6 linked regions of the Tribolium castaneum genome follow. The protein of the gene in region 6 purifies or fractionates together with the protein of the main gene of each other region. This does not show direct contact. Links are inferred from orthologs where the notes say so. Each region holds a gene or a part of one and is shown on either strand. Other genes may lie near its edges. The genes, in order: RpS23, RIOK2, LTV1, RRP12-like protein, bys and Tsr1.

Region 1 (2,975 bases), on a different chromosome or scaffold from region 6:
GCACGCTCTGCTTCGTCTTTTGATACCAGTCTTACCGTTTGACGCGGAGATCGAGAGATGCTTTGTACTTTCGTGTCGTCCTTCGAGGGGGAATACTCCTTCTTGAACAGCTTTATTTTGATCTGAGGCTTTCTACTTATCGGAATTATGGATATGTCTGGTTGCACCGTCTTGGGATGGCCATTATTCGACGCCGAGTGCACGTCCCTGCTCTTCACGCAAGTCACTTCCTGGAAAAGAAGGAATTTTCAACGTTAACTTAATTTTGAGTAAAGGCTTCATACACGTATAGCAATCTTTAGGAACTTAATGTTAGATTAAATCTGATTTAAATAGGTTTAAGAATAATGAGGGCAAAAATTGGGGGCACGCCAACAAACAAACAATCGAGTATCAAATGTCATTGTCATCAGTAAACAGTAATCCCAGCCTTCTTAGTTGTCTTAAAACATATTTTAAAATGGTGGCAAAAAGACGATAAAAACCCTCAAGAAAAAGTTATCGACTCTAGAGCGAAATGTCCCCATTTCTTTGAATTTAGCACGATATGGGGGCCCCTGTGTTAGTAATCAAACTCACTTCTTCGTCTTCACTGAGTTCATGATTAATGATCACGTCAGGCTCCAAACTTCTGTGAAAATCGCGTTCTTGAGCATTTTCCATGTTCAGTCCCGTATCTGGAATAAAACAAACATTGGGAAATCATTTTTCTAATAATAAGCCGCAAGTGTGCTTTTGTTTACGGAGTGTGTGTTATTTTTGCTACTGTCAAAAAACGCAAAATAAACAAACGAGTAATTAGATTACTATGAAAAGAAGGCGTTGATAATTACCTTAATTGTTAGAAAATCCGGAGCAAAAACGTAAAACACGCAAACATTATAACTTGGTCCAGAATAGAAGTACAAAAAAAGCTATACAGCCAAGAACTCGATAGGTTGCTTAAAAAAATATACAAAAAGTGCGCTTCGAACTGTCAAAAATCGCTTATCCTCTTCTATCACAAAAAAATTGGATCGATTTCAGTCCACTACCAACACAACGGCGACAATGACCCCACTTTCTCAAAAAATCGGATTCGAAATTGGGGAATAACACGTCCAATTGACACGAAATTGCAATTAGCCCACTGGCAACAAACCGGAAACGTAAATCCGGGTCCCGGATCGGGCTCCTATGCCCCAAAAACAACGATCCGTTTCGAGGCGTTGCCAACGTTCGGGCCTTACATGGCGTCAGGTTGGCATTCCTGGGCCTCTTTTGCCGAAGTTTTGCAGCAACCAACATGGGTGAGTGTCACGCACTGGCGTAAATAAATACGTTTTTTTCGCGTTTTGGTCGTTAAATTTGCCGTAATTATCCGAATTCCGTTAATTTGTGTGTCGCCTCATCAAATTTCATGGGCCACAAGTGACTTTTCGGTAACTTACCCCCAAAAATATCGATTGTAACTTCGCTCGCTTTTCGCTCCCTTGAAATAAATCCGTTCCATCCTCTTGCTAAACACATGCAAAACTGCCCTTTTTTTCGGTAAATGTGATTGTGGGAGTTTGTTTGGCGTCGTTGTTTTCGTATTTTTCTAATTCATGTTTTTGTGTTTCAGGTAAGCCCCGCGGTTTGAGGACGGCTCGTAAACATGTGAACCATCGTCGTGAGCAGCGATGGGCCGACAAAGACTACAAGAAGGCCCATTTGGGGACCCGCTGGAAGGCCAATCCTTTCGGGGGGGCTTCGCACGCCAAGGGAATTGTGCTTGAAAAAGTGTGAGTCTCTTATTTTGCTACAAGTGCACTTTGAGACAACTAGGCACTCCTTTGATGCCTTAGTTTAATTTTAAGAGTGCTAGATTAAAGATGGTACTCTGAACCATTGGGAAGTCAATTCGGTTGACTTCACGCTCTGATATGTGTGCCACAGTTCAAATGGGGTAATTGGCGCCCTGCGCAGGATTTGCTTGTGAATGGGTGTGCTTGATTCAATCACAGGAAAATTCTGTGCGGGGAGTTGGTTTTGTCACCACAGGCAAGTTAATTTTGTTTGTTAAAATCATGAGAGGAGTATGGAGACGAAATGTTACTGTTTTTGCAGAGGTGTTGAGGCTAAGCAACCCAACTCCGCTATCCGTAAGTGTGTTAGGGTCCAGTTGATCAAAAACGGGAAGAAAATCACCGCTTTCGTCCCTAGAGATGGTTGCTTGAACCATATTGAAGAAAACGACGAAGTTTTGGTCGCAGGTTTCGGTCGTAAAGGTCATGCCGTAGGTGATATTCCCGGAGTTAGGTTCAAGGTATAAGACAGCAACCCCATAAAAACACACATCTCCAATTTTATTGCTTACAGGTTGTCAAAGTAGCCAACGTATCCCTACTAGCGTTGTACAAAGAAAAGAAGGAAAGACCTAGGTCGTAATTTATATTTTGTTAATTTTTACATCTTGGATACTGGTATTTTAATAAAATTCCGGAATTAAGTTAATGTTTTGTCTTAATCCCTCACTTGCTCCCTACTTAAGAATAAAGACAAACGCAAGAACACCTTAAAATTTATTCAATAAATACAAGTGATATGTACAAACAATTAAGACAGTAAATTCTTAAAAAATTATTGCTAACAGTTGACTAGAGGTGAGCAATTTTTCACACATGGCACAGACGTGGCCATTTAAACAATACAACCCCACACCAGTTAATAACTTGTTTGGCAATAAATAAACATAAGTACAGTGTCCAACTGGGGTTAACAACTGAGGAACTTGACCCTGATTTGTGTTTCATTCACTAATTACCATCCTAACCACGGTGGTTGATTCATTTCATGTACTGGTGTGAAGGTTAAATTTACAGGTAAATTGATTATTGCATACGATCTTTTTAACCTTTCCAGCGTTTTTGTGATCATAATACCGTTTTTGCCCATGAGAAAAGCCGCAGGTATGTGAACTTCATCAGATGAGTCATCATCAATCATCTCAATAA
Region 2 (4,109 bases), on a different chromosome or scaffold from region 6:
CGAAAATACTAAGAAAAAATGTTGATTGGCAATAGATATCGCCTGGTTTCTTCTAATTTTCCTGATTTGTCCAAAATTTCTTTAATTACTTAAATTACTCCATTTTTCTAAATTTACATTTTTCTCACAGGACCAACACTAGTCACGACGTTTGGCAGTTTGGAATTGTGATATTTGTGTGTTTGACCGGGTGTCTTCCATGGCAGAAAGCCGCCCCTGACGACCCCCGGTACTCCAGGTATATTTCCTGGCAAAGCAGCACTATTCCACTGAAAAGACAGCCAAAATTGTTTAAACTGGTGTCGTCCAAAGCCCAAAAACTCTTCAAAAAATATTTAGAACCAAAACCCGAGAAAAGACCAGCGGGGCTTGCCGAAGTCCATCGATATTTGGAAGACCGCTGGATGTCCAAAGGCGGGATGGAGAAAACGAGCGAGTTGCCGGATGAAGAGGAGGGGCTTTGCCCCTCAATGTACAGCTTCCACAGCAGTCCGGAGGAAAAAAATAAACTACTCTTCACCCTAACCCAGTACGGACTTGAGACAACCGTTGACCGAACGGCCAAAAAGGACCGAATCCGCCAGTGGATCCAGTCGAGTGTCATTGAGGAGGAAAACGAAGAAGAAATCGAAGCACTGTCCGATGAAGAAATCGGCCCTGAGGGGGAGCGAAACGAGTCGCGCGGACCTGTCTCAGCCCCCAAAACCAACGGCCTCGAAACGGACAAAACCAGCCGAAGGAGAGCCTCAACGCTCAGTCTTCGCAAAGTTCCGGACTTTTATATCCCCCCGATTGACCCACGAATCCCCCTTGAAGAGCAAAAGGAGAAAAACGTGTCTCGCAGTCAAATCATCAAGACGAAAGACAAGCCGAAGGACGAGTTTTCAATAAGCAAAGCGTTGCCATTCCAGAACTTACAAGTGGTGAACTCACTGTCATCACTTGATTCCAGTGATAGTAGCACAGTGAAGCACCACAAAATTAACGTGCAGTTGCCCCAATCGGAGAAATACGTTTATGGGGCCACCCCTAACGGGGTGAGCAACGGGGTGCGCAGGTCGCCCCCTGTTAACGTACGAGGGGCTGAAAAGATGTACAGGGCGTACTCGGCCACGGAAGTCCGAGGGAATGGACATTACTCAAGGAAATAAATGCTCAAAACGTGACTGATTGTTATTTATATTTGTACATATTAACGTGTTATTACCACATTTGTATCATGGAGTGATTAATAACTAGTCCTAGGCCAATTTAGAGTAAAAAATGTTTTATTTAAATTTGTTCTTTAAATTTTGCCCCCAAAACCTCTTGGTGATTTTTGATTTGGAACTAGAAACAATCTCAAACCTTGCAAATGTGTTGATGCAATTGCGTGAAAAATAGTTAATTTAAGTGTTAGAAATGGGGAAATTGAACGTAACAATAATGCGTTACCTCACCGGTGAGGATTTCCGGGTTCTAACAGCGGTAATTTGGCGTTTTATCTTGAATTTATTTTCCTAACCTCACTTTTCAGATTGAGATGGGCATGAAAAACCACGAATTGGTTCCGGGCCCCATGGCTGCGTCCATTGCGAATTTGCAGCACGGCGGTGTTCACAAATTGCTGCGTGATTTGTGCAAGCACGGATTATTGAGTTACGAGCGGGGGCGCAAATGTGGGTTAATGTTTTTGCAGACTTCAGGTTTTATTTTATTATTTCAGACGATGGTTACCGCTTGACCAACATGGGGTATGACTATCTGGCCCTCCATTCGTTAACAAAACGCGACGTTATTGGTTCTTTTGGAAATCAGATTGGGGTGGGGAAGGAGAGTAATATTTATATTGTTGCAAATCCTGAAGGAGAGGAAGTTTGTTTGAAGTTGCATAGATTGGGACGAGTGTGTTTCCGGAATGTTACGAATAAACGAGATTATCACAAGCACAGAAAATCGGCGTCTTGGTTGTACTTATCAAGAATTTCAGCCACTAAAGAATTTGCTTACATGAAGGCGCTGTATGATAGGAAGTTTCCAGTCCCTAAACCCATTGATTTTAATAGACATTGTGTCATCATGGAGTTGGTCAAAGGGCGGCCCTTGTGAGTTTTTACTTATTTTAATTACTGGTCAAAGTTGCTTTGGAATTTGAAATTAAGTTGGCAACAGTGCCAAATTCAAACGTTACACTTATCCCTAAAGTGTAGTAACAAAATTCCTCAAACTGTGTAAATAAAGAAGAAAACGTCCAACTGGGTAAAAAGTTATTGTGACAACATTGTAAAAAGAGTATCAATTAAGACGATTTCTAGGGAATACATAATAATTATAAAATAAAATTGTTAAAAGTAAAAACAACAAATAAAAATAATACGTAAACAATATAACATAAATTAACTTCTTTTTGATGAGTAAATTCGTTTTATTTTTTTTTTATAACAATTGTCAAAGTGAATATTCTCTCAAACACCTTAAAACCTTTAGTTTCGGAACACTTGTATCGAAAAAAATCAAGTTTTTATTGTTAAATATCAGAAAACTTACAACGGGGTTAAGGAAATTTTATTTCAAAAGACAAAGAATTCATAATGATAATGATACGGTTGCCAGCCTAGTAATCATCAAATAACTAGTGGGTGAAAGAGGCTCATACCAATATAACATATATAACATATAACTCATACCAATATAACAACACTTTAACAATTGATTTAAAAATAAATTTAAAGAATAAATAAATTAAAAATAAAATAAATGTAAAGAATAAACAGACTAGGTGTACTTACACTTTTACTGTCTCCCTTTTATCACATTTTATGATGAAAACAATGATACTAAAATAATCGTTGTTGGAAAAAAAACTTTTCTTGTTTTTAAAGTGAGCATCTGTGTCAACAAATTTTCGGGAAAAAACAATTACAAGCAAGTAAGCCTCTGTAAGATAAAAGATTAAAAATTCAAGTTTGAATAACGTTTTCGTTCATTATTAAGAGGTAGAGGATATTATCTTCCCTTTTTTTTTATAATTAAAAATCCAAGAATGGCAGTTTATTTTTAGCTGGGTATCCAGAGTCGTTGCCTAATGTTAACTTGAAATAAATCTACGGTTTTGATATTTTTACTGAAAACTAAAAGAATTTCTAAATTATGTAAAATTTTTTTCTTGTTAAAAAATTCCTAGAGCTGGGAAAGATGCTCTAATGTGGCATCTCTGGCTGGGATGTGTGTCAACTGACACAATTTTATCTCACTAATTCAGTATTACCAACTTAATTTCAAAATCAGGGGGCACTTTAATCAGACATTTATTTAACCAATATACATGTACTAAAGTTATTTTCTCACGTAGATGGGTGCTGAAAGTATTTTTAAATACTCTAAAGTATTTTTATTACAGGAGTGTCCCAAAATTAGCGAATTCTGAGTTCAGAGCATCTCAAAACTAATATATCTCAAAAACTAATAGTAGGAGAGAAATCAGCGTTTGCTTTTTTAATTTATCCACCTTTCCTGATAATTAAAATTTATTAATTAAAAATATTAATAATGATAGCCCCAAAGTTACCTCTATTTCCATTTTTATTTAATTATTTTTGGGGCTAGAAACATTTTTTATGAATTTTTTGCACTAAATGCTTGTTCTAAAATGATTCCTAAATTAATCTTTTGCCACGAACTTATAATTAATAATAAGTATACAAGTATTTAATAACAAACTGGAAATTTGTGTGACTATTATTTCTGGGGTATATTAAAAGTATACTTCTAGCAGACCCACCTTGTATAAGTGTAAAAAATAACTTTAGTGCTGAAGTGTTACCTTACGTTTTTTCTGAACCCGTATTTTTTAAAATTTTTGATGTATCCAAGGACTGTCTTTACGGACGATTTTAACAATGACAATAGAAAAACAAATTTTACCGACTATTTTGGGTTGTTTTACGGACGATTGCGGCAAGCATTTTTACAAATTTATGACTTACAATTTTGAAAACTTTATGTCTCCAAAAGTACTACTTTTTTCTGACTATTTTCGGTGACTTGACGTAGTATTGCGGTTACTTTATGGAGGATTGACCCCGACAAAGTTCTTACGAACTACTTTGCGTTACTTTAGGGCAAAAAAA
Region 3 (4,267 bases), on a different chromosome or scaffold from region 6:
GTGAGAAATGCGGGGGAAACACTGCGATGTCTCACATGAGTTCGGATAAGACCGATTTAGTTTATACAAGCAGGGTTGAAGTACGTTTTAATATTCCCAATTTGTTATTTTTCATTTAAAATAATTTGAAGGTCTACAAATGTAAAACTTGCAACGCATTTACTAAATTTCCCCGTTTTAACGATTTAAATATCTTATTGGAGACTCGAAGAGGGAGGTGTGGGGAATGGGCAAATGTTTTTACGTTACTTTGCCGCTCTTTGGGGTGGGATGCTCGCTATGTGGTTGATGAACTTGACCACGTGTGGACTGAAGTTAGTTTTTTTCTTTCCATAATAAATAACATTCACAATTTATTTTTTTAGGTTTATTCAGTTACGCAAAAACGTTGGGTTCATTGCGACTGCTGCGAAAACGCATGTGATACGCCCCTAATGTACGAAACAGGGTGGAATAAAAAATTAACATACATTATAGCGTATTCTCCTGATGAAGTCCAGGATGTCACCTGGCGTTATTCCAGCAATCACAGAGAAGTTCGGACACGAAGAAACAAATGTTCAGAAGACGAACTTGTGAATGCCTTAATTACGCTTAGAAATGAGCGCCAGAAGTCATTTAGTGCACCTAAACGTGATTATTTAACGAAAAGATTGGTTACTGAGTTGATAGAATTGATGGTGGAGAGAAAAGCGAATGATAGTGAAAAGTTCGGCCGTATTTCGGGATCGAAAGAATGGAGAAGTGCAAGAGGGGAAATAAAAAATGAGAACATGTATGTGTGGATTGTTCCGAGTAAACATATCGTTAATAATAAATTGACAATTAAATATTCCACCGCGTTTGATAAGTACGAGTTTGTGAAGGGGGATAATAGTGTTTTGGGGGTAAACGGCTGGCAATATGGTGTCTATGATTTCAGTAATGTGTTCAGAAAAGAAGAGAAAGATTGGAAAACGGTTTATTTGGCCCGAAATGGTGCGATTTAAACCAATTGTTTTTTCATATTATTACTTGACAATTTTTAGAAGGGACCGATCAAGGGAGTATATCATGGAGATTCGAATTAGATAAAGGGGTTAAAAAGTGTATAGATAACTTATCATTAAAATTCAATTATCAACTATACGAAAGTGGAGTCGTACAAATACAACTAATTTCCGATGATAAATGTGTGGATTTTCCAAAAAGTATCAGTTAAATTGTTTTGTTTTATTTTTTTAACATTTATTTGTAGCTGAAGGGGCTCTAGAAACTCAGGCATTTTCGGGAGTGAGGCATTTTACAATTAAGGCAACTTTAAGTGGAGGCAAGGGCAATGTGGCCTGGCAGCATGCCCAATTATTCCGTCAGTCCAGTGATAGCAAAGATTTTCCATTTGTTCTTTCTGTAACTTTTAGAAACGTTGAGTAAATAAATATTTGTTACAATTTCTGTTTTGTATTAAAATAGAAAAAAAGTTATAAAACATAATTGACAGTTCTTTGTTGACACGTGCAGACATAACCTAATTTTTTATCATTATTTAACTTTTCCCAACTTCGGGAGACTATAAAAGCATCAATTTTGTTGGAAAGGGTTTCTGTGAATATTTTTGCAAATATTGATAACACAGAAAATGGTAAGTTGGTGTTATATTAAAGTTAAACTGAAGAAGTACCAATTTTGGGGTTATGTTTCCTAACCACTACAATTTTAGCCAAAGACACGGAAATTTATCGATAAAAAGAAGGCGATTACCTTCCAACTGGTCCACAGAAGCCAGCAGGACCCCCTAATAGCGGACGAGAACGCTCCTCAGAGAGTCCTCGTCCCAATACATGAGAAAGAAAAACGCTTGGAGGAGCAACATAAATATGGAATTTACTACAACGACGACTGCAACTATTTGGAACACTTGAAAGACTCCAAAGACAATCAAGTAGAATGGCCCGACCATGTGGAAAAGTCTCTCAAAGAGAGAAGGGTCAAGCTGGACTTGCCTGCCACAGTTTTTGCCTCAAAACATGAGGAAAAAGAGGGAATGTTGAGCAAGGCCGCTCCAGTTTCAGGTTTGTGTCGAAAAATGCTTATTTGTGGTGTAAGTCTGGGTTGTAGGGCCTCAACTTCAATTGGACCCTGATTTGGTTGCGGCAATGGACGAAGATTTTGATTACTCAGATCCTGAGAATCAGTTGGAGGATAATTTTATTGAGTTAGCTGAAGGTGTTGCTTCTGATCAAGAATTTGATGATGAGTTTGAAGTGGAATCTGATTTGGGCAGTGAAGAGAGAGATGAAGTTGGATCTTTACCAGACTCTCAACTCTCTTTCAACGAAGAAGAAACAAAGTCAAGATTTACAAGTTATTCCATGACTAGTTCTGTTATAAGGAGGAACGAGCAGCTCACTTTGCTCGATGATAGATTTGAACAGGTAATTGGGCAACGAAAAATTGCGAAAATATTTTTTGTTGTGTCTAGATGTATGCTGATTATGACGACAACGAAATTGGGGCTTTGGACTGCGAAGAGATAGAAGGGCATGTACCTGAAAGCTCTGACATACTCCTACAATATGCCCAAGAATTTGAAAAGAGCCAACAAAATGAAAAATTAGATAAGGAAGTTATAAAGGCGAAAATTGATGAAAGCTTAACTAAAGACTCTAAAAGTGAGGAGGAGATGGTGTACATGGAAGTACCGCAGAAGGAAAAATGGGATTGTGAGTCTATCCTGAGCACCTACTCCAATATTTACAACCACCCAAAACTGATCAAGGAACCAGCTGTAAGTAAAATACCATGCCTTCAATTAAATTTCTGAACAGATTTAATTATGGTAATGCGAACGCCAGTCTACACTTAAAATGATTAACACATGAGGAAATCAAGTCTACAAAATTTATTGATATTACTGTGTTACGCAACTCGAAATAAACATGAAAATTACAAAAGTCAATAAAATCAGTTAGTGAAATGCAAATCAGAAGCCTGCAGTCTTCAAAAATATGAGTTTTATTAAAAAAAAACACGGTTCAAGTGGGTCACCGATAAAATTGTTATTTTTCCCAAATTATTGTGAAACATCGTAGCTTTTCATCATTATCCTGTTATCTCGGTTCCGCAATTCACACCTGATTGAGTAAATAAATATTTTTCTCATGCTGCAACATAATAAATAACTTGCAAATGAGAACCGACCCATTTCACAGCACTTTTAAAGCCTACATAATATTTAAAGGTAGGTACTTTATTTGATTGCTGTAACAGTTTCTGTTTTCTCAAACGTGAGAAAATTAAATTAAAATGAGATCTCGCTACTTTGAATAAAACACACTGAAAATAGGACAAGGGAAAACTGGAAATTTTAATGCCGTTATTTAAATTTACTCAATTCACGATCGACCATGAACTTTTAAACGATTTTGAATTTTTTAACGCGAAATGCATTCAATTTAAAATTGTTTGTTGGTGTTTATTTTTAGAAATGGACGTTTTGCTTATTTATTGGCCAAAAGCAAATAAATTGTGTAGTTGAGATTTTTATTTAAATATTCAATCGATTTTGAACTCTAATAACAATGAATGAGTAGTTACTAATTATTCACAGGAACTGATATGCCTACACACTTTTTTATTTTTTTCGTGTTAAAGTCCAACGTGAGTCAGTGTCGAATTTATAAATGTAATAATGGTGGTTTTATATTGAAAATTGTGAGTTACTTGATAAGAGAATAGAATTATTTGAATTAATTGAATTTTAACCGAAAATAATGCAGCTATTATAAAAGTTCATGACAAACTTTTCTATGGATTAGTACACCAGGGATTTCGTTCATTGTATCTCCTATTGGAAACTTTTGAGAGCTTCTATCTATTATATCAGTCTCATTTGCGTCGCTCTTTTATTAAAACTTTATCAAAAGGGATTTGATAAAACAAGCGTGTTTTTTTCTTTTGTAACTTGTATAAATAGCAAGTGACTGCTTAAGTCCTTTGTTTTTAATGTACAGATGTTCAGTAATAAATATTATCGTATTTACTGGTTTAGTCACATGAAATTAGGTAAATTAAGAACTTCTTTGTTCGATCACTGGAGAGGTTGTAGGTCACTGGATAGATAATACAGGAAGGGTCATCAAAAAGTGATTTGTAATTTGCGCACTTTTTGATCACTCCAATTACCGCGTCTTGTTAGAGATATTGCGCAAGATTTTTATTTCCGTGTATTACTTGTATTTTTGTCGCGATAGTGTAGTTTCTGTGTTTGGTAATTGTTTTGTTTACA
Region 4 (3,500 bases), on a different chromosome or scaffold from region 6:
AACTACTAATCGGAGAGCAATGATCTTTTTTGGGAAAAATAGATTATCAAAAAAGCCTTCCAACGATATTAAACTTACTGGGGTTAAGTCTAATAGTTCCGGAGTTATTACCCGATGAATGTCAAAAACGTGGTGAAAAATTCACACACTTACTTTTCAAACGATGATTACGACAAAACTATTTGAAAAAGTTAAATTATTTTGACGTAATCTTATGTAAAATGAGCTGGGAAATCGACTAGCGTCAAGAAAATTGACAAATTCTCAATACTTTCCAAATTATGATTTTTTTCCATTTCTTGCAACTTTCTCGAAAACTACTAATCGGACAGCATTGATCTTTTTTGGGAAAATTAGATTATCAAAAAAGCTTTCCAACGATAATACACTTCATGGGGTTAAGTCTAATAGTTCCGGAGTTATTGCCTGATAAATGTAAAAAACATGGTGAAAAATTCACACACTTACTTTTCAAACGATGATTACGACAAAACTATTTGAAAAAGTTAAATTATTTTGACGTAATCTTATGTAGAATGAGCTGGAAAATCGACTGGCGTCAAGAAAATTGACAAATTCTCAATACTTTCTAAGTTATGATTTTTTCCAATTTTTGCATTGGTTTGCAAATTTCTCGAAAACTACTAATCGGAGAGCAGTGATCTTTTTTGGGAAAAATAGATTATCAAAAAAGCTTTCCGACGATATTAAACTTACTGGGGTTAAGTCTAATAGTTCCGGAGTTATTGCCTGATAAATGTAAAAAACATGGTGAAAAATTCACACACTTACTTTTCAAACGATGATTACGACAAAACTATTTGAAAAAGTTAAATTATTTTGACGTAATCTTATGTAAAATGAGCTGGGAAATCGACTAGCGTCAAGAAAATTGACAAATTCTCAATACTTTCCAAATTATGATTTTTTTCCATTTCTTGCAACTTTCTCGAAAACTACTAATCGGACAGCATTGATCTTTTTTGGGAAAATTAGATTATCAAAAAAGCTTTCCAACGATAATACACTTCATGGGGTTAAGTCTAATAGTTCCGGAGTTATTGCCTGATAAATGTAAAAAACATGGTGAAAAATTCACACACTTACTTTTCAAACGATGATTACGACAAAACTATTTGAAAAAGTTAAATTATTTTGACGTAATCTTATGTAGAATGAGCTGGGAAATCGACTGGCGTCAAGAAAATTGACAAATTCTCAATACTTTCTAAGTTATGATTTTTTCCAATTTTTGCATTGGTTTGCAAATTTCTCGAAAACTACTAATCGGAGAGCAGTGATCTTTTTTGGGAAAAATAGATTATCAAAAAAGCTTTCCGACGATATTAAACTTACTGGGGTTAAGTCTAATAGTTCCGGAGTTATTGCCTGATAAATGTAAAAAACATGGTGAAAAATTCACACACTTACTTTTCAAACGATGATTACGACAAAACTATTTGAAAAAGTTAAATTATTTTGACGTAATCTTATGTAAAATGAGCTGGGAAATCGACTGGCGTCAAGAAAATTGACGAATTCTCAATTTTCCAATTTTTTGTTATTACCCCATGAATGTCAAAAACATGTTGAATTATTTTAGATCAAGGCTTTGTGTTCGATGACGGACGATTGTAGCAGACACTTCAGGTTAAAAATCCGCGATATTTTAAATAAGTTAGTGAGGAAATACGGAAGTGAGTCAATCGCCCCCTACATACCTGAATCGAACACAGTTATGTACAAGAGATTGAGAAACATTCGGAAGCTTCTTGCCCGAAAGAAGCGACAGAAGGAGGGACAAAAAGAAGAGGACGGAAGTGAGGATGAAGAATTTTTGATCAAAGCGAAACCGAAGAGGTTTAAAAACACGAAACGGGCGACTTTATACTTATTAAAAAAATTTTAGTGTTGAAGAAATTCTAGCGGACTCCGATTCCGAAACCGAAGACATGGAAACCGACCACAAAGTGGTCAAGCGAAAACAACCGAACACCTGGATTGAGGAAGATCCCGAATCAATCGTCGATTTTACCGACCCGAACGTGGTCAGTAAAATAACAGGTGATTGGACCTTTCTCTTGGTTTTTCCCCGACTGTTATTATTTTTCAGCCACTCAGCCCGGCTCTGCACCGTTCTGCCCAGCCACCTCGAAAAAACCCAAACCGGGGAAAGACCGCGGTTTTAAGACCGCTCCAGACGGCCGACTCATTATCACCGATGACGATTCGTCAGACAGTGATTCAGACAAGAAGAAAAATAAAATCGATTTTGATTCTGATTCAGATTCGGAAGTTGACGATAAAAGCGTGGCCGAAACTCTAGTTTTGAGTGATAGAAAGCGCAAAAGAGCGGCAAGTGTTAAGAGTGGAGTTAGTTCAGTTAGTCAGCCTCCTGCGAAGTATAAAACTGGTGGAATTGGCATACATCGGGCCACGAGTTCGGCGTCCGTCCGCAGTGGCGCTAGCAGTGTCCCTGGAAGCGAATACAGGGGCAAAAGGGCCAAAGGTGATGTTAAGAAGAAGGGCAAACCGGACCCTTACGCCTACTTGCCCTTGCGCAGGTCTGCCATCAACAAAAGGTGAGTCTAAAAGGGCGGAGGACTAAAACTAGGGGGCGAAAAGTTTCAATTAACTTTGATTCGTTCATGAAAAAAATTTGAGGCTTGAATTTTACAGATTATGATGCCCATTTGTTTACGCATAAGCAATATTTCAAAATTTCGTAATTTTTATGAGAATCTATTTTGATAAATGAAACAAAAATAAAATAAAAAAAAGTTTTTTTGTTCTTGTCTTATTTTATAAGCTGCGATTGTTTTTTACAATTCTCCTTTAATTGACATGACAACATGAAACCTAAATAAATCACACCAACTAAAGCAAGAATTGTCGTAATTATTATTTTTTTATTTTATTTTTGGGTATAACTTTGTTTAAGATTTTTATTATTTTTTTGTATCTACCAGAAAGATAAAACGATGTACTATCAAAACACTGAAAAAATGTTATCTCGTACCATAAAGTTGTGAATGTTGTACTTTGTTTTAACCGATTTTATAAGCCTTTGATTTCTGCCTCCTAGTAGTTAGTCCTCCGTAGTTTGAGTGGGTTTAGCTGATTTGAAACTTGTAGAAAAAAGTCGAAGGCAGCAGGACAGTTTAAGAACATTATCAGGGGGGCCAAGGCCGGGGCCTTGAAGGGGGCCAAAGCCAAAAGAAATCGCAATAAAAATTGATTTGTTCTTTGTACCAGCTTGTGATAGCTTGTAATAAAAATTAAGCGCACTTAATATATTTTTATTCCAGACCTAGAATTTCTACAATAAATGAGAAAATAATAGATTGATTGAATGAATTCAAACAAATACTCACTTAATTGCGATAATTAAAACTATATAAAAAATCTCACTTTGTACAAATAAAATGTGGAAAAAATAATTGAGAGAACAATTTGTTACTTTCCCTGTTTCGTATCTATGAAAGCAATCGAGTCATGAG
Region 5 (3,507 bases), about 11 Mb from region 6:
AAGTTTTTTGCAACACAAATGCGCCAAACGTCGCGATAACAACTCAGATTGGACGAATTCGTCCAAATATTGCAAACATAAAGGCATCAAAAGGCGCAAAATGCCGTCATCGGACGGTTGTGACCTCATTTTTTCCAAAAGTTCGAGAATCCAGGTCAGGACTTCTTGCCTGTCCATGAGGCCCTCCTCATACATGTATTTGAGCAACTGTGTGCAGTAAATCCAATGACGCATTGCGAGTTTTTGCTCAGTTTCGGTGGTCGCAGCCTGGGTCAGAGAAGGGGTTTGAGGGGGCTTTTCACCTTGGGAGTAATAGTCTTGCAGTTTGAGGATTTGTTCTTTGAGGAATTTTAGCATCGTTCCGGTCCATTCTACAAGAAATTGTAGTTAAGTGTAAAGTTAATACAAGTAATAAAATAGAGACCTGTAGTCGGGTCTGGCATTTGCCGTTTTTTGATTTTGGCCTCGGACACGGCAACTGTGTAAGCCGAACTCAACTTGATAAACCAGGCGGCCCGCATCATAGGCACCTGATACTCGCACAGCATTATAAAAATCTCCTCTTTCTTGTTGAAATTGGGCGCTTTTTTCGACAAGTGCATCAATGGTTTGTTCCCAGCTAGATCCTTAAACCAGAGTTCTATGGCATTTTTTGTTCGTATTGTGGCGGGCCAGAAGTTGTCTTTGGGGTTGATTTGTTGCCGCTTCCTGCCGGAATCGGGCAACATGCTCAACTCCTCTTTGCGTTTGATAATGTCATTGAAATAATCCCCGACTTTGCTTGCCGAAATATTGCAGTTTCTGGCCGTTCCAAATTCGTCGCTTAAGTGGGTCATTGTCAGGAACCCATGTTTAACGTTGACACTCGTCAACTCGTCTTCTTTTTGCTTCGGTTCTTGCGGGTAAACGTCCGGAGGGCCGATTTTCGGCTTTTTCAAAGGTCGTTTTTCGTACAAAAGGCTGCTATTGAACATTTTGGCACAATTTGGGATTGCTATTATTTTGAACACTGACAAGGGGGCCTTTAGGCAGCTCCAATGTAACGCATCGCTACAATTTAATTAAAATCTCGACCCCGGGGGCTTCATTGCGGGGGAAAGTGCCAACACCTAAACGAGAGGATGGGAGCTAATATTTCAGTTTTTACACCGATTTAGACAAATAAAAAAACGACAAAGTATTGAACAAGCATTATGTAAGCTTAATTAGGAAAAAATGTAGTGATAAATTACCGTTTTGACGAAATAAACACACTTTTATGCACCAACAACACAAGTTTTGAAGATGGTGTCCTCCATCTTGACCTCTAGGGATAATAAAAAAATCCCTGCTAATTGCTTAATTTTATCGAATTTTAAACTAATAGCGCAATAGTTTAAAAAGCGAATTTTTAGAAAATTAATTTTGCAAAATATTTTACCCGATTTGACCCAATCTCGTACTTAATGCTGCTGTTTTCCAATTTAATTTTAAATTGCCAATGTCGCCAACCCAAACCTCTGACAAGTCCTTTTAGGTTACGTCCAGATAGTTTGAAGACACGTGTGGTAAACAAATAGGGATAATGGGCAAAGCAAAGCGCCTGAAGCCGTCTCAGATGGGCACCAAGGTGCCCCTGGACCAGGACATCGAGGACGCGAAGTTTGCCAAGTCGAAAAACCGCAACAAAATCCGTCTAAGACAAGACGACGATGAACAAGTTTGTATCGCTTTATGATTGTCTAAAACCAATAAAAAATTCCAGTTTGTGGACTCGAACCTCTCGCGGAAGATTCTCTCAGCCGCCCGAGAGCAGCAACGCGAGCTGGACTCAAGTTTCGGCCCCACGCCGTCCGAGGCAAGTTCAAGCAAGTTTAAAGTGTCCAAACTGGGGGACGATGACTCCGAACCGGAAGAGGAAGACACCCTCGAACCGGACACGTTTTACGAAAACATTGAAATCAATGAAGAGGATGAGAAAGCTTTAGAGAAGTTCATGAGTAGCAATCCGGCCCCGAGACGCACTTTGGGGGATATTTTGGCCGAGAAGTTTACCGAAGTTAAGACGCATTTTAGCGAGGAAGGCTCGGTCAAAATGCAGGAGTTGGACCCACGGGTGGAACAAATGTATCAAGGGGTGAGGGATGTTTTGCGGAAATATAGGAGCGGCAAGTTGCCGAAAGCGTTCAAAATCATCCCCAACTTGCGGAATTGGGAACAAATCTTATACATCACGGGTAATTAAAATCATTGTTGATGCCCAGCGGTTAATTAAGTTTTAGATCCGCCAAGTTGGTCAGCTGCTGCCATGTACCAAGCCACCCGTATTTTCGCCTCAAACCTCAAGGAAAAAATGGCTCAGAGGTTCTATAATTTGGTTTTGTTGCCCCGAATTCGCGACGACTTGGCCGAATACAAGCGACTCAATTTCCACTTATATCAAGCCTTGAGGAAAGCCCTGTTCAAACCTGGGGGCTTCATGAAGGGAATTCTCCTACCACTGCTTGAAAGTGGCGATTGTACGCTCAGGGAAGCTATTATAATAGGCTCAGTTGTCGCAAGAAACTCTATTCCTATTTTGCATTCTTCTGCCGCGATTTTGAAAATCGCGGAAATGGATTACACCGGCGCCAATTCGATTTTTTTGCGTATTTTCTTCGATAAAAGATACGCGTTGCCGTATCGTGTTGTGGACGCAGTTGTGTTCCACTTTTTGAGATTCGAGCGAGATTCCAGGGAATTACCCGTTTTGTGGCATCAGGCTTTCCTGACATTTGTACAAAGATACAAAGCTGATATTTCAAGCGAGCAAAGGGACAGTTTATTAGAATTATTAAAGAAGCAAAACCACCACGCTATCACACCAGAGATCAGAAGAGAAATTCAAAATGCGAAATGTCGAGACGCTGAAACCGCCGAACCAAAAATGGACTTTGACTAAATTAATGGTTACATAATTGTGATAATTATATTGAAAAAAATCGGTTACAACAAGACTATTAATAAAAACTTGGAAAAATTAGGAAAATTATGTTACTTAAACCAGAACTAATTAACGTCAATACGATTTGTTCCTAACTTAGGGATAAACTAGTGCTCCCTAATCTCTATTCATCCAAATAATGACTTTCAACAACAAATAAGCGACTCCAAAACCAACTAGAAACTTCTCCTTTTGGAGCCGGCTCAAGTTTTCTAATTCTAAGGCCATCACACGTCTGTTGAGCTTCGCCATTTGCCGCCTGAGGTGCAGCACCTCTTCGGCGGCCGTCAGCCTCTCGCCGCTGCCCCCGATCGGGGGCGTAGTCTCGCGTATCGTCAGATTCAAATCCGAATCATCAAACGCCTGTTTTTTCTTTGGTTTAACCACCGGAATCTGGTTCAGTTCCGGGTCCTCCATCTCCTCAAGAGTGGGAAAGGGGTACTTGTCCAGAGTCAAAGTCCTGGGCGGGGTCGCAACCCGCACATCCCCGGGGTACGGTTCTGGGGGAAGGATCGAGTTGTCAAAGACAATTTCGCGTGGGGGCG
Region 6 (3,117 bases):
TTGTCGCTAAACTGAAAGTATAAATAAGCCACATTCCAAAGCATTTTATTTTAAAGCATCCGTTAGGTAGTATTTCACAAGATATCGTCTGTCTGAGTAATGTCTGTACTTCGTGAAAAAAATTTATAGACAGAAGAATAATATCGAAGAACCTAATTTGATACAATAATAAACGATCGTCTCTTATTTGTTGTATTGTAAGATATATTGGTAAAAATTGGTTAATTGACAAAACAGCCATTCCATTTTAACGGGACGGGGCACACAAATTATTATTAAATTTTATTTTCAGTTTTGATGAACAGCAGTAGAGGTGAATTTTTTTTAGGAACTTAGTATCAGTCAAATTTTTTGCAACCTACAATTTTTAATTTTAAAATACGGACAGGAAAAATAATTACAAATTGATGACGGACGGTATACAAAAAGACCTCACATTTTTATCGTTGCACAATCCTTATAAAATTCTGTTAATTTAAAAGTCACTAATTCCAACAATTATTTTTGAAATAAAAGGTGAAACCTGTTGAAGCTTTTGAAATCACAAAACCGAAGAATAAGGCAATGTGCAACGCAACGACTTCTGATTAATTTACTTTTTGTTTACACATGACGGACGGGACAAAAAAATCTTATGCGTGAAATCGCTCTAAAAAATTTATTCAGTCAGGTTTTAATTAATAAAGACTTTAACAATATTAAAATTAGACAGTGGAAATAAAAAATTCTTGGTTTTGTTTAACAATGTAAGAAATAAGACCAACATTTTATTTTTGTGATTACGGACGGGACAACAAAAGTTATAAAGATAGAAAGTAATGTTACTAACCAATTTACTGATCAATTTTCATTTTCTAAACTACCAGAAACTAAAAAATTACTCTTCAAAAAATATTCAACAGTTGTAGTAACATATACCGGGTGCTCAAAAACCGGCGCACCAACTCAATGGTGTGTGGTAGAGAACTGATTACATATAAAGGTAAAAATAGTAAAAAAAATCTTTGTATTAAAATTAGTGATAAATAACGAATTTTAAATAAATGATATCTGGCAACGCTGTGTAACTGTCGTGGTCTCAATAGAATTTGATCAACAATAAAAATAAATTATTTTTGAAATGGTTTCCTAGGAAATAATTTCCAGTGTTGGCACATCTACAAATTGTGATTTTTTGATGAATTTTATTTTTTTGATATTAAAAAAAATTGGTAAGGTCTACTAGTAAATTTAAAAATAAAGAAAACTGAAGAAGTTAATGACCTAAGTTTGTAGCTGCGGATTTTTTAAAATACGACTTTAGGAATTTTTTCATGATTATTCCCGTAATCTACACATGCTTCTCAACACCGTACCACTGAGTTGGTGCGCCAGTTTTTGAGCACCCTGTATAACGACAACGTAAAATTCTGACGTTATCGTTATATGTAAATTTCAGAATCCAATGAATTACTTCAAGTTAAATTTAAATTAAATTAAAATAAATTAAATTTATCCTATCCCAAAAACACTTTAGTCGCAAAATACATTATATCGAAACCGAATCGTGTATTTTGAAAGAAACTTCACATCACTAAAATCACTTTGAAATTTCGGGGTCAGATTGCATTTGCATTTTTATCCATTTGCATCTAAATCTTAAGTTTCTTTTTTTTAGTTAATTTTGATAATACTAATTTTCGATGACTCGACCTATTTTACCCCCTGTTCGAGTTATCGAAATTCGACGGTATTTGGGTATGTGTATTTGAGTCATGTGTGATTTTGCAGCCTGGATGGTACATAACTGTTCATATAAAGAACGTTTCACAACTTTCCTGGTCCAACTTCGGGAAAGTTGGCGCCCCCTTGGTGCTCTTTGGGTTACTACCCCACGAATACAAAATGTCAGTCATTAACGTCGTCTTGAAACGAACCCCAAACTACTCTCTCCCAATCAAATCAAAAGAGCGCTTAATTTTCCAATGTGGCTACAGAAAATTTGTCACAAATCCCATATTCAGCCAACATACAAACGGCCAGAAACACAAGTTTGAGAGATATTTTCAACCGGAATCAACAGTTGTTGCCACTTTTTACGGCCGAATACAATTCCCCCCTGCGCCCGTTCTGTGCTATAAGGAGGAAAATGGGAAGTTGGTTCTAGTTGCGACAGGAAGTTTGCTTTCTTGTAATCCCGACAGGATTATCTTGAAGAGAATTGTTTTGTCAGGACACCCGTTTAAAATTTATAAAAGATCAGCGGTTATAAGGTTTTTGTTCTTCAATCGTGAAGATATTATCTACTTTAAGCCTTGTAAATTGAGGACGAAAATGGGACGTGTAGGGCATATTAAAGAACCTTTGGGTAAGTCTTTTTTTTTTTTCATCAAGTGTAATTATTAATTTTTTGTGGTTATTTTAGGTACACATGGACACATCAAGTGTATTTTTGATGGACAGTTAAAATCGCAAGACACCGTTCTTCTGAATTTGTACAAAAGAGTGTTTCCTAAATGGATCTACGAAGATTTGGTGGTCAGTGTTGCCAGTAACGAAGAGATGGAAACGTGATTATTTTGATGCAAATAACTTTCATTTGCTGTATATTTATAATAAATAAAAGTGCTGAATGGAATGATTTTTTATTACAAGTTAATTGATTTGATTTCCATATTTCCTTCGAGTTTTTTTTTAAATTTAATAAAATTCGCTCAAAACCAGCTAAGAGTGAAAAAGGAAAATATCATTGATTTCAGCTTATTTAAAAAAAATTAAAGACGTGTTTTTTTCAGATCTAAAATAACATCTATTTTGATCTAGTTTGGTGATTTTTCGGTTAGTTTTATCGATTTCTCAAAAAACCTTAACCAACGAATTAAAATACCGGATTTTTGACTAGATTTAGCAAAACATCGCAAGGTATACAATTCTTTATCTTCTTTATTGGTTTATCGGGTTTTTTTTTGAAAAATTGAATTTTAGACTGAAAAATAGAGCAAAATTAATGACTTTCGACCTTCCATTAGTCCTGTTTCTACCGCGTTTAGAAATCTCCAGCAAAGAAAGATGTTTTCCACACAAAACGTGTTTAAACGCTCAAAATATTTTTGGGTAATTTTGGCTTGTTTTTAACTG

What was found.
Region 1: the proteins of Tsr1 (region 6) and RpS23 fractionate together in Homo sapiens (co-fractionation; 3 studies listed by BioGRID and IntAct, with this or other methods). This does not show direct contact. The link is inferred for Tribolium castaneum from reciprocal best matches to the Homo sapiens genes TSR1 and RPS23.
Region 2: the proteins of Tsr1 (region 6) and RIOK2 fractionate together in Homo sapiens (co-fractionation; 3 studies listed by BioGRID and IntAct, with this or other methods). This does not show direct contact. The link is inferred for Tribolium castaneum from reciprocal best matches to the Homo sapiens genes TSR1 and RIOK2.
Region 3: the proteins of Tsr1 (region 6) and LTV1 purify together in Homo sapiens (co-immunoprecipitation; 4 studies listed by BioGRID and IntAct, counting the BioPlex papers as one, with this or other methods). This does not show direct contact. The link is inferred for Tribolium castaneum from reciprocal best matches to the Homo sapiens genes TSR1 and LTV1.
Region 4: the proteins of Tsr1 (region 6) and RRP12-like protein purify together in Homo sapiens (affinity purification with mass spectrometry; 3 studies listed by BioGRID and IntAct, counting the BioPlex papers as one, with this or other methods). This does not show direct contact. The link is inferred for Tribolium castaneum from reciprocal best matches to the Homo sapiens genes TSR1 and RRP12.
Region 5: the proteins of Tsr1 (region 6) and bys purify together in Homo sapiens (affinity purification with mass spectrometry; 3 studies listed by BioGRID and IntAct, counting the BioPlex papers as one, with this or other methods). This does not show direct contact. The link is inferred for Tribolium castaneum from reciprocal best matches to the Homo sapiens genes TSR1 and BYSL.

Annotation. Positions count from the first base shown.
Region 1 is NC_087397.1:10,542,711-10,545,685, forward strand, and holds RpS23 (small ribosomal subunit protein uS12), read left to right. Parts: upstream 1-1,155; 5' UTR 1,156-1,285; coding exon 1,286-1,289; intron 1,290-1,603; coding exon 1,604-1,763; intron 1,764-1,918; exon of another isoform or gene 1,919-2,021; intron 2,022-2,088; coding exon 2,089-2,287; intron 2,288-2,340; coding exon 2,341-2,409; 3' UTR 2,410-2,475; downstream 2,476-2,975. Other genes in the region: zinc finger protein 184, read right to left, coding at 1-230, 580-663; PRADC1-like protein, read right to left, coding at 2,782-2,975. UniProt on the Homo sapiens protein: Component of the ribosome, a large ribonucleoprotein complex responsible for the synthesis of proteins in the cell.
Region 2 is NC_087394.1:23,768,422-23,772,530, reverse strand, and holds the start of RIOK2 (serine/threonine-protein kinase RIO2), read left to right. Parts: upstream 1-1,309; 5' UTR 1,310-1,401; coding exon 1,402-1,467; intron 1,468-1,516; coding exon 1,517-1,658; intron 1,659-1,705; coding exon 1,706-2,084; intron 2,085-4,109. Other genes in the region: serine/threonine-protein kinase SBK1, read left to right, coding at 131-1,151. UniProt on the Homo sapiens protein: Serine/threonine-protein kinase involved in the final steps of cytoplasmic maturation of the 40S ribosomal subunit. Involved in export of the 40S pre-ribosome particles (pre-40S) from the nucleus to the cytoplasm.
Region 3 is NC_087396.1:13,992,899-13,997,165, reverse strand, and holds the start of LTV1 (protein LTV1 homolog), read left to right. Parts: upstream 1-1,467; 5' UTR 1,468-1,618; coding exon 1,619-1,621; intron 1,622-1,699; coding exon 1,700-2,051; intron 2,052-2,097; coding exon 2,098-2,414; intron 2,415-2,461; coding exon 2,462-2,767; intron 2,768-4,267. Other genes in the region: Pngl (peptide-N(4)-(N-acetyl-beta-glucosaminyl)asparagine amidase), read left to right, coding at 1-80, 132-314, 366-978, 1,029-1,190, 1,238-1,413. UniProt on the Homo sapiens protein: Essential for ribosome biogenesis.
Region 4 is NC_087395.1:23,545,583-23,549,082, reverse strand, and holds the end of RRP12-like protein, read left to right. Parts: intron 1-1,603; coding exon 1,604-1,860; intron 1,861-1,909; coding exon 1,910-2,064; intron 2,065-2,113; coding exon 2,114-2,582; intron 2,583-3,135; coding exon 3,136-3,238; 3' UTR 3,239-3,287; downstream 3,288-3,500.
Region 5 is NC_087398.1:4,030,195-4,033,701, forward strand, and holds bys (bystin), read left to right. Parts: upstream 1-1,478; 5' UTR 1,479-1,564; coding exon 1,565-1,699; intron 1,700-1,744; coding exon 1,745-2,216; intron 2,217-2,261; coding exon 2,262-2,920; 3' UTR 2,921-3,007; downstream 3,008-3,507. Other genes in the region: kto (mediator of RNA polymerase II transcription subunit 12), read right to left, coding at 1-371, 425-974; Tango11 (transport and Golgi organization protein 11), read right to left, coding at 3,080-3,507. UniProt on the Homo sapiens protein: Required for processing of 20S pre-rRNA precursor and biogenesis of 40S ribosomal subunits. May be required for trophinin-dependent regulation of cell adhesion during implantation of human embryos.
Region 6 is NC_087398.1:15,011,579-15,014,695, forward strand, and holds the end of Tsr1 (pre-rRNA-processing protein TSR1 homolog), read left to right. Parts: intron 1-1,770; coding exon 1,771-2,347; intron 2,348-2,404; coding exon 2,405-2,553; 3' UTR 2,554-2,617; downstream 2,618-3,117. UniProt on the Homo sapiens protein: Required during maturation of the 40S ribosomal subunit in the nucleolus.